Linked DNA regions of Sus scrofa. The protein of the gene in region 2 binds, or shares a complex with, the protein of the main gene of each other region. Links are inferred from orthologs where the notes say so. Each region holds a gene or a part of one and is shown on either strand. Other genes may lie near its edges.

What was found. Proteins that work in one complex are often made in the same cells at the same time.
Region 1: the proteins of RAF1 (region 2) and RAP1A are in contact, whole or in part, in a crystal structure (PDB 3KUC), measured with the Homo sapiens proteins. The link is inferred for Sus scrofa from reciprocal best matches to the Homo sapiens genes RAF1 and RAP1A. Residues at the interface, in NP_001341619.1 of Homo sapiens: Thr57, Arg59, Asn64, Lys65, Gln66, Arg67, Thr68, Val69, Val70, Lys84, Lys87, Val88, Arg89, Gly90; in NP_001010935.1 of Homo sapiens: Val21, Gln25, Ile27, Val29, Asp33, Pro34, Ile36, Glu37, Asp38, Ser39, Tyr40, Arg41.

What each region holds. Positions count from the first base shown.
Region 1 is NC_010446.5:108,747,873-108,752,616, forward strand, and holds the start of RAP1A (ras-related protein Rap-1A), read right to left. Parts: upstream 3,081-4,744; 5' UTR 2,961-3,080; intron 2,890-2,960; exon of another isoform or gene 2,871-2,889; intron 2,167-2,870; exon of another isoform or gene 2,124-2,166; intron 1-2,123. UniProt on the Homo sapiens protein: Counteracts the mitogenic function of Ras, at least partly because it can interact with Ras GAPs and RAF in a competitive manner. Together with ITGB1BP1, regulates KRIT1 localization to microtubules and membranes.
Region 2 is NC_010455.5:68,598,328-68,602,529, reverse strand, and holds part of RAF1 (RAF proto-oncogene serine/threonine-protein kinase), read left to right. Parts: intron 1-471; coding exon 472-570; intron 571-2,749; coding exon 2,750-2,903; intron 2,904-3,490; coding exon 3,491-3,550; intron 3,551-4,202. UniProt on the Homo sapiens protein: Serine/threonine-protein kinase that acts as a regulatory link between the membrane-associated Ras GTPases and the MAPK/ERK cascade, and this critical regulatory link functions as a switch determining cell fate decisions including proliferation, differentiation, apoptosis, survival and oncogenic transformation.

The sequences.
Region 1 (4,744 bases), on a different chromosome or scaffold from region 2:
GTAGATGGAATATTTTGCAACCACTGAAAAGGGTTTAAAATGAAGATTATTAACCTCCTATTTGGTCTTCCTGCTTCCACTCTTGCCCCATCCCCCAAGCTGATTTCCACACAGCAGCCGGAATGATGCCCATAAACGTTAAGTCAGAACAGGTCTCTCTTCTAGTGGTTTCCCATCTCATTCAAAGTAAAATCCAAAGTTCTGACCACGGCCTACAAAGCTGTACAGTGGCCTCGGCAACTTCTCCAAACCTCAAGCTCTCTCACTTTCCCTCTTGCTGACTGGCGGCCCAGGTGTTCTCCAAAACGCCAAGTACACTGAGTGGTCTTTGCACTTACAGCCCTCTGCCTGTAACCTTCTGCCCCAAGACAGCAAACATCTCTCACTTCCTTCAGGTCTGTGCTCCAGCCTCATGTCTTCCCTGACTGCCTTCTTTGCCACTGTTCCCCTCCATCCCCTCAACCTACTTTACTCTTCGGCACACCTCTTATCACCTGACTTATTCTACATTTATTTGGTTGTGGCCCATCTCTCCTAATTAGAATAAAGCTCTGTGACAGCATGGACTTTGTTTTATTCACATAATAGGCATTCAAAAAAGCACGTGTTAAATTAATATTGAATGTTGTTAACTACATGAAAAAACATGCACATAAACAAGCTTGGAAGAGAAGAGAAAAATCATCTGTCAACATTTTCAAGTGTGGATCATGTTGCTAAAAAGGAGTTTGTACAATAAAAATCATAAGTCGGTCATGATCATGATTTTAAGCTGCCAAAAGTGACTATAATAATTTCCTTCAAAGCCATTTGTTTAAAATTATTAGTAGTTCAAAAACTACTGGTAATAGTTATATTAATGAGAACTTTTCCCCATAAGATTGCAATACAAAATCACTCTTAAATCTTGTTCCCAAAGACCCAAATTTAGTCTATAAGGGTAGGTTTGTCATTCCTGAACTCAAACAGAAGATGAACAAAGGCTTTTGAACAGTTTTAATACGGAACTGAATACTCAGGGATTCCAGTTTACTTTTAAGACAACTACCCATGGTTGGCTTCAGAGGGTCCCTGAAACTGAATGCAAAATTTTGTGCAAAAATGCCTATTACCTCCTTCCTGAGGAGAGCATCTACACATTTCATTATATTCTCAAAGGTGTCAGTAGCCCAGAAAAGGTTAATAATTACTATTTTATATACTGGGAGCTAAAGGCCATATTCTAATTTGAGCTGCCTCTCAAAAGGATAGAAGATATGGAAATACCTAGACATATCTTTGTAATCATTCAATTCATTCAAGAAATATCAAGTGCCACAAAAACAAACAAACAAGAAAGACCAAGTGCCTAGCATGTGCCAGGCACTGTATGAACCTCAGTACCTTACACCTAATCACATTTTGTGGCACATAATTCAAAATACCGAGGAAACAAGATTTACTGAAACACCAGACTAAAAGAATTTCAATTAACGCAAATACAATTTCAAAACAGAAAGTAAGTGTTCAAGAAATCAAAATAAAGAAGCTCGAAACCTGATTTAGTGTCAATTATGTCAAAATAGTGCAGATTATCAATTACATCACAAGAGAAGAAAAACTACACACATGCATGCCCACCCCCACACTCTGACAGGAAACCAAAATAAAGTTTCCAAATCCTGTTTCCAGCAGCATCCCTTTAGAGACTGCCCTTCAGCATGCTTTTGAAGGTAGGAGCCCCACGTTAAAACTAAGAGCGGATACTTCACTCTTAACTGTGCTAAAAACAGAAAGAATTATCATCTCACACCCAGGAAGCAGAAAACTGTGGCCACCTGTACAGCTGTGACCCATTAACCTCCTGCCCTGTTATTCTCTTTCATTTCTTCTACCTTCCTCCCTTCGAAGCAGTGACAAAACCATTTTCCCTCCCCAAAAGGAATACATAACTCCTCGACGCTAGTTCTTTTTCCAAGAGGTCAAAAGGTCCCCTAAACTCTGGTTCTTAGCACCGTGAGCTGATTCCACTTTTCAGGCACAAGTGTCTTCCCCTCAAGTTCTCCCCACAGCAGTAAGTTACACAATTCAGCCGAAAACGCTGTCCTTAACTTCCTGAACCAGGGGGCAAAAGACACTCCTACCAGTCCCAGTTTGAAGGAAGACAAGAATCACACGGTGACCTCTGCACTAATAAAATTCAGGAAAGAAGCAGAGACCCAAGAAAAGCAACGCCCGAAAAGGCGAACACATGGCATGCCACGGAAGACGTTGGGCAAAGAGGGCGGGAAAGGGGCTGGGAAATGGAGTGGGGCGTAGAGATGTCAGCCCTGCGCACTGGGGGAATAAAGGAACGGGGGACCCCGAACCCTGACAAGTGAACACAGAGAGGACACTGCTCCGGTCTACCCTCACCTCTCCAGCAGACGAGGGAGGAACAGAAAATTCACCCAACCCTCCAACCCCCTCTGTGCTTGCCCCCCAAAGGGTGAGCTGGGTTTGAAGGAAGATCTGACCCTAGTCTGGGGACACGCAAGAAGAAAAAGGCAGCGATGTCCAATCTTCTACCTCCCTCGGGCAGTGAGGGGCGAGGGCACTGTGTCCGGGGAGATGGCGAGGGAAATAGGCTTGTGCCATGACACCTCGGGGAGTTGGAGGGTGGGGGACACAATGTCCTCTTTCTCTCCCACACCCGGCCCGGGCCCCTCCCGTCCCTCTCCCGCAGGCCCAGCCACAGTCCACCGGCTCGGTCCGCGGGCGTGGTTGGCTCTGGCCCCGGCGGCGGCGGCCGGGCCTCCCCAAGTCCTGGCCCCTCCCGCCGGCCAGGCCCCGGGCCGCCGCCCCGGACACCGAGGGAACGCAGAGGAGGAAGGGGGAGCCAGGGGACTGACCGGCAACAGGAGCCGCCTCAGCCCCGGCTCGGCCGACCCGCGCCCCCCGCTCCTTCTGAGGCCGGCTCCGGCTCCCCGCCCCTCACTCACCCCCCCGGTCCGGCGCCTCCTCCACCTCCTCCTCCTCCTCCTCCCTCCACTCGGCCGTGGCTCCTGCTCCGGCTCTGCGCGGCGACGGCGGCGGCAGCGGCCTCGAGAGCGGCGGCGGCGCCTCCAGAACGCGCACGCACGCAGCACGCAGGCCACGCCCCCAAGTCCCGCCCCGCCCCTCCGAGTCGGCGTCGGCAAGGTTTCGGCCCCGCCTTCCTTTTGGCGTTCCGGAGTCCGCTTAAAGGGGCCGCGCAGGAAGGGATGCGAGAGTTACGAACCGGGAGAGTTATGACCTGAGGAGAGGAGCGGGAGTTACGGTTTTGCCTTGGGCGGTTGGGTGCGGAAAGGAAATGAGGAATAGTCCGAAGATTCTGGAGTAATAGAATTTTGGACGGAATACAACCTTTTGATAAGTACTAATTGAACATCTCATATGTGACAGGCACAGGGAATAATGCCATTGGCAAGTAAAGGCCCTCGTAGAGCTTGCATTCTAGTGGGAGAGAGGAGACTGAAACAAACAAGTAGAACAAAAATTTCAGAAAGTGGAGTCCCCATCTTGGTTCAGGGAAACAAATCTGATTAGTAACGGTGAGGACGCAGGTTCGATCCCTGGCCTCGCTCAGTGGGTTAAGGATGCGGCATTGCCATGAGCTGAGCGGTAGGTCACAGACAAGGCTGGGATCTGGCATTGCTGTGGCTGTGGCATAGGCCAGCAGCTACAGCTCCAATTAGACCCCCAGCCTGGGAACTTCCATACGATGTATCTGCGGCTCTATAAAATCCAAAAACTAAAAAAAAAAAAAAAAAAAATCTCTTTTGGAGTTCCCGTCGTGGCGCAGTGGTTAACGAATCCGACTAGGAACCATGAGGTTGCGGGTTCGGTCCCTGGCCTTGCTAAGTGGGTTAAGGATCCGGTGTTGCCGTGACCTGTGGTGTAGGTTGCAGACACGGCTCGGATCCCACGTTGCGTGGCTCTGGCGTAGGCTGGTGGCTACAGCTCCGATTAGACCCCTAGCCTGGGAACCGCCATATGCCGCAGGAGCAGCCCAAGAAATGGCAAAAAAAAACCAAAAAAAAAAAAAAAAGTTCAGGAAGTGATAAGTGGTGTGAAGAAAAATAAAGCCAGGAATGGAGTGACTTTATAGATGGCCAGATATTGCCCCTCAGAGGAGACCTTTGAGCCCATAGTGTATGATATGAAGGAGTGGGCTTAGAAAATATGTGGGAGGGGAGAAGGCATAGGGGAGACCTTATAAGCTGAAAGAAAATCTCTGGCCTTAAGCTCAGAGTTGGGAACAGCCGAGCATGTAGCAAGAACAACAAATGGCCAGAATGGCTTGGGGTGATCAGCTAGCCAGAGAGTAGTAGTAGTTGGGCTGAGAGAGGTGCGGAAGAAGAGGTCAGGTCCAGTGGAGCCTCATGGGCTGTCACAAGAGCAGCAGAGAGCCATGGGAGGGTGAGCAGAGGAATGACCACATCTGATTCACAATTTTCAAAGTTACCATGGCTCATGTGTGTAAAATACACAACAGGGAAGCACAGATGTCAGCAGAGAGGCTGTTCATGGGAGCTTGGACGAGGTGTGTCTGAATGTATTCAGGTGCATTTTTGAATTGGAATCAATTTGGCAGAGAACGTGTCAAGGAACGAAAAGATCATGTTTGCTTCTTAGGTTCAGGCCTAAAGGATGCAGTAAAGGTGGTACTATTTAATGGGATGGGGAAGACTTAAAGAGGAGAAAATTTGGGGTGGGGAAAAATCAGGAATTCTGTTTTGTGTAT
Region 2 (4,202 bases):
CAACACAAGATTCCTGACCTACTGAGCGAGGCCAGGATTCAAACCCACATCCCCATGGATACTAGTTGATTCGTTTCTGCTGTGCCACAACGGGAACTCCCTCAGTCTTTTGATCAAGACATAATGTTTCCAGAAAAGCTCTGCATGATTTAGGTTAGTTATAAAGTGCCCTACTGTGTATAGCTTTTGAAAAAATTATTTTGATACAGCTGGACATTGAAGCAGCATTTCCTAGAAATGCACATTAGAGACTCTGTGTTCACTGGCAAGTCAGGATTTTTCACATTCCGTAGTCATTCATACTCAGTCACTTGGTTTGGTAGTCCCTTTACTCTGGTAGCCCAAATGGTCCAAGAAAATGTGACTAGGAATAGTTCGGCCTGAGTAGTTATGAGTTTGCAAGGCCAGGCAGGCTGACTGTAAAATTATTACCACAAGTCTATAAACCAGTCTTTCTCTGATTTCATTTAGATTGTTCCCAAATTCCACTGTTGGTGATAGTGGGGTCCCAGCACTGCCTTCTTTGACAATGCGTCGGATGCGAGAATCTGTTTCCCGGATGCCTGTTAGGTATTTTTTATCTACTGCTTTTCTTTTGGAAGGTTTTATTGGTGTGGGTGGGATTGAAAGCATGGATGCAAAAGACAGGAGTTTCCTTGCGTTCCTTCCGCCCTGTGTAAACCCTTTGCTGCTTCTGTGGACCCCAGTGTTGGTGTTAGAGCAAAACGTAGTTCTTTGTGGTCCTGTAGTTCTTGAATTCTGGAAAGTGACTGTGACTATAGTTTATTCTGTTATCCTAGCATGTCCCTTTGTTCTCATTACGTTTTAAAGAACTTGAGATTTTTGCCTTCCTCATTATGCATGTGCAGTGAGCCTCAGGGAAAGGGTCCCAAAACAGTAAATAGTGATTCAATAAAAGTAAAACTCTCAACTTTGAATTACTTATTGTAGGCTTACATTGCTAAAACCATGGTACCTAATAAACTGCTCTCTTTAAAAGCATCTAATTAGATGTTAGTATAATATCTATTTTATTTTTATTTATTTATGTGTCTTTTTAGGGCTAACCTGCGGCATATGGCGGTTCCCAGGTTAGGAGTCCAATGGGAGCTGCAGCCACTGGCCTACACCACAGCCACAGCAACACCATATCCAAGCCGCGCCTTCAACCTACACCATAACTCATGGCAATGCCAGATCCTTAACTCACTGATTGAGGCCAGGGATCAAACCCTCATGCTCATGGATCCCAGTTGGGTTCATTAACCACTGAGCCACAAAGGGAACTCCTAAAAGCTGTTTTAAGCTTTGAGTTAACATGTCTCAGTGTTACACATGAATTTGGAACCAAAAACAAATCTACGTCTTTATTCAAAGTATCTGACTTTATATATATTCATAATTTTTTTTTGGGGGGGGGTCTTTTTAGGGCTGCACCCGTGGCATATGGAAGTTCCCAGGCTAGGGGTTGAATTGGAGCTGAAGCCACCAGCCTACGCCACAGCAACATGGGATCTGAGCTGAGTCTGAGACCTATACCACAGCTTATGGCAACACCAGATCCTTAACCCACTGAGCGAGGCAAGGGTTCGAACCCACATCCTCATGGATGCTAGTCATGTTAACTAACTGCTGAGCCATGACAGGAACTCCATATTCATAAAACATTTAATGGCCTTTGTAAACCTATCATGAAATTTGTTAAAGGTAGCATATTTTAGAACAAAGAATCTGAATTGATAATCTAGATGTGTTTGTATATGACTTCTATTTTTCTTGATAATTTGAAAAGCAAGTCTGACTGAAAAACTGTAATTGTCAGTTCCCTGGTGGTCTTGTTAGTGGTCAGGACCTGGTGGTTTCACCACTGTGGCCCAGGTTCGCTGCCTGGTCTGGGAACTGAGATTCCTTATCATGCCGCTGCATAGTGTGGCCAAAAAAGAAAGGAACTGCTTGCTTTTGAAGATTTAGATACATTTAGATGGAAGAAACTGGGGTTCTGAGAGCATTAGTGTTGAATTGCCTGGAAAGGCAGTCTTTCAAGGAAGTAAAGCAGTTTCTTTTAGAAAAACCATCTTTTTGTCCCTTGAATTCATGCATGGTGCTGCTTGAATCTGAATAGAACTCAGAGTAATCTTTTGAGCAAATAATGAAAATCTTATACCTAATGCATGTTCCCAGTTTGGTTGGTGGGAGAGTGGTTTTGGGTAAAAGAGGCCAGTGATACATTTCACAGTTAGGTATTGAAACCTAAAAACTCAGCTCACGTTAATTGACTTTGTGAGCTGTTTATGGGGGAGAGGATTCACAGTGGATAAAATTCTGGCCTGTTTGTAGACATGCTTAGTAGGTCTGACCATCTGTTTAAAAAAAACTTCTTTAAAGTTTTCTAATTTGGTCTCATAATTAACCTGAATAAGTCCCAGCTAGCTTAGTAGAGGGTAGTATGGTTGGTAACTGTTAATCTCTCTCAGAGGTTGTCTAAAATTTAGAGTATTCTGTAGAGGTGGTTTATTAAATAGAAGAAAACTAATAATGTATCATTTCTTTTCACATGAATTCCAAGCATGTATATTTCCTTTTCTAAAATAAATGGTGCATATTGAAAAAAAGGAACATTTTTTTGTCAAAGGTTGTAGTTCAAGTAGGGTTTGTCCCAAGTATCTTAATGAAGTAGATACTCGAAAGACTGCCTGTACAGAAAGCTCAGTATCAGTCACGGAATTTTCTTTCTCCTTCTCTCTACTAGTTCCCAGCACAGATACTCCACACCCCATGCTTTCACATTCAACACCTCCAGCCCTTCCTCTGAAGGTTCCCTCTCCCAGCGGCAGAGGTCGACGTCCACACCCAATGTCCACATGGTCAGCACCACCCTGCCTGTGGACAGCAGGATGATTGAGGTAATGGGGCCCCTTGCGGGTGGTAAAGATTATCAGTCAGCTATTTGATTGGGGTTTACTGTTGTGTCAGAGAGTTCTGGGTTTTAAACCTGATAAGGAATGTTGTAGCACTTTCTCAAATTCCTGGACTTTTAAAATTTCTTTTCTTATTCATTACATCTTGAAATTGGTTTAATAATCTGGTTAGTGTATCAGTCGAGGGGAGAACTAAAATTTCAAATTGAATTCATTCTTTCCATATCAGATTAGAGTAGGATTTCAGTGAACTAGTGAATAAGGTCTATAAGGAGTAGTTTCTTTCTGGTTTGGAAAAGAAAATAATAGTGGTAGAGAGGTACAAACTCTCTGAAAGACTTTTAAGTGATTTTATTTAGAAATGAAAGGGTAGAGTTATAGGATTTTAGGTATTTAGGGAAATATAAAGGTGCCTAAAGCCTGGTGTTTTCAAACTGCTTTTTCTTTTCTTGGCTTTTTTTGTATGTTCTATTTGTTTGGTTTGCTTTCTAGTTCATCTTTAATAACAACTGAATACATAAAATACTTCCTTTGTTCTTTATTCTTCTTTATTTCTCATTGCTTTGGACTAGAATAACAGCCTGAATGCTTCTCCCAGGGCGTGGTCCAGACGATTTTGTTTGAGGGGAAGAGTAGGTATTTTTCTTCATGCCTTTGCTTTCTTTTAAATTAACAGGATTGCTAAGACTGTCAGACAGTAGACTATCAAAAATGAAACAATTACTAAACTTACTGTTTCTTGTCAGACTTGTTTTCATGTTTTCTTTCTTGGCAATAGCATAATTTAGGAGTAAACAAATATTGTATGTGATATTGCTGATAGGTGAAGTCAGTTTTCTCTGAGATTTTGAGGCCAAGGGTATGTATGTATGTATGTATGTATGTATGTATGTATGTATTGCTTTTTTAGGGCCATGGCCACAGCATATAAAAGTATCCAGGCTAGGAGTCCAATTGGAGCTACAGCTGCTGGCCTACACCACAGCAACAGCAATGCGGGATCTGAGCCATGTCTACAACCTATATCACAGCTCACGGCAGTGCCGAATCATTGACCCACTGAGCAAGGCCAGGGATGGAACCCACATCCTCATTGATACTAGTTGGATTTGTTTCTTCTGTGCCATGATGGGAGCTCCCAAGGCCAGGGGTATTAAAAAATTAAAAAAAAAAAAAATCATTTTCCATCAAAGACTGATGCTAGATTTATTTAGTTGGTACTCAACAGCATCACTATTTATATTTTGTTTAGAAACCAAATGTGTCAGTTTGGTTGCTATGCCC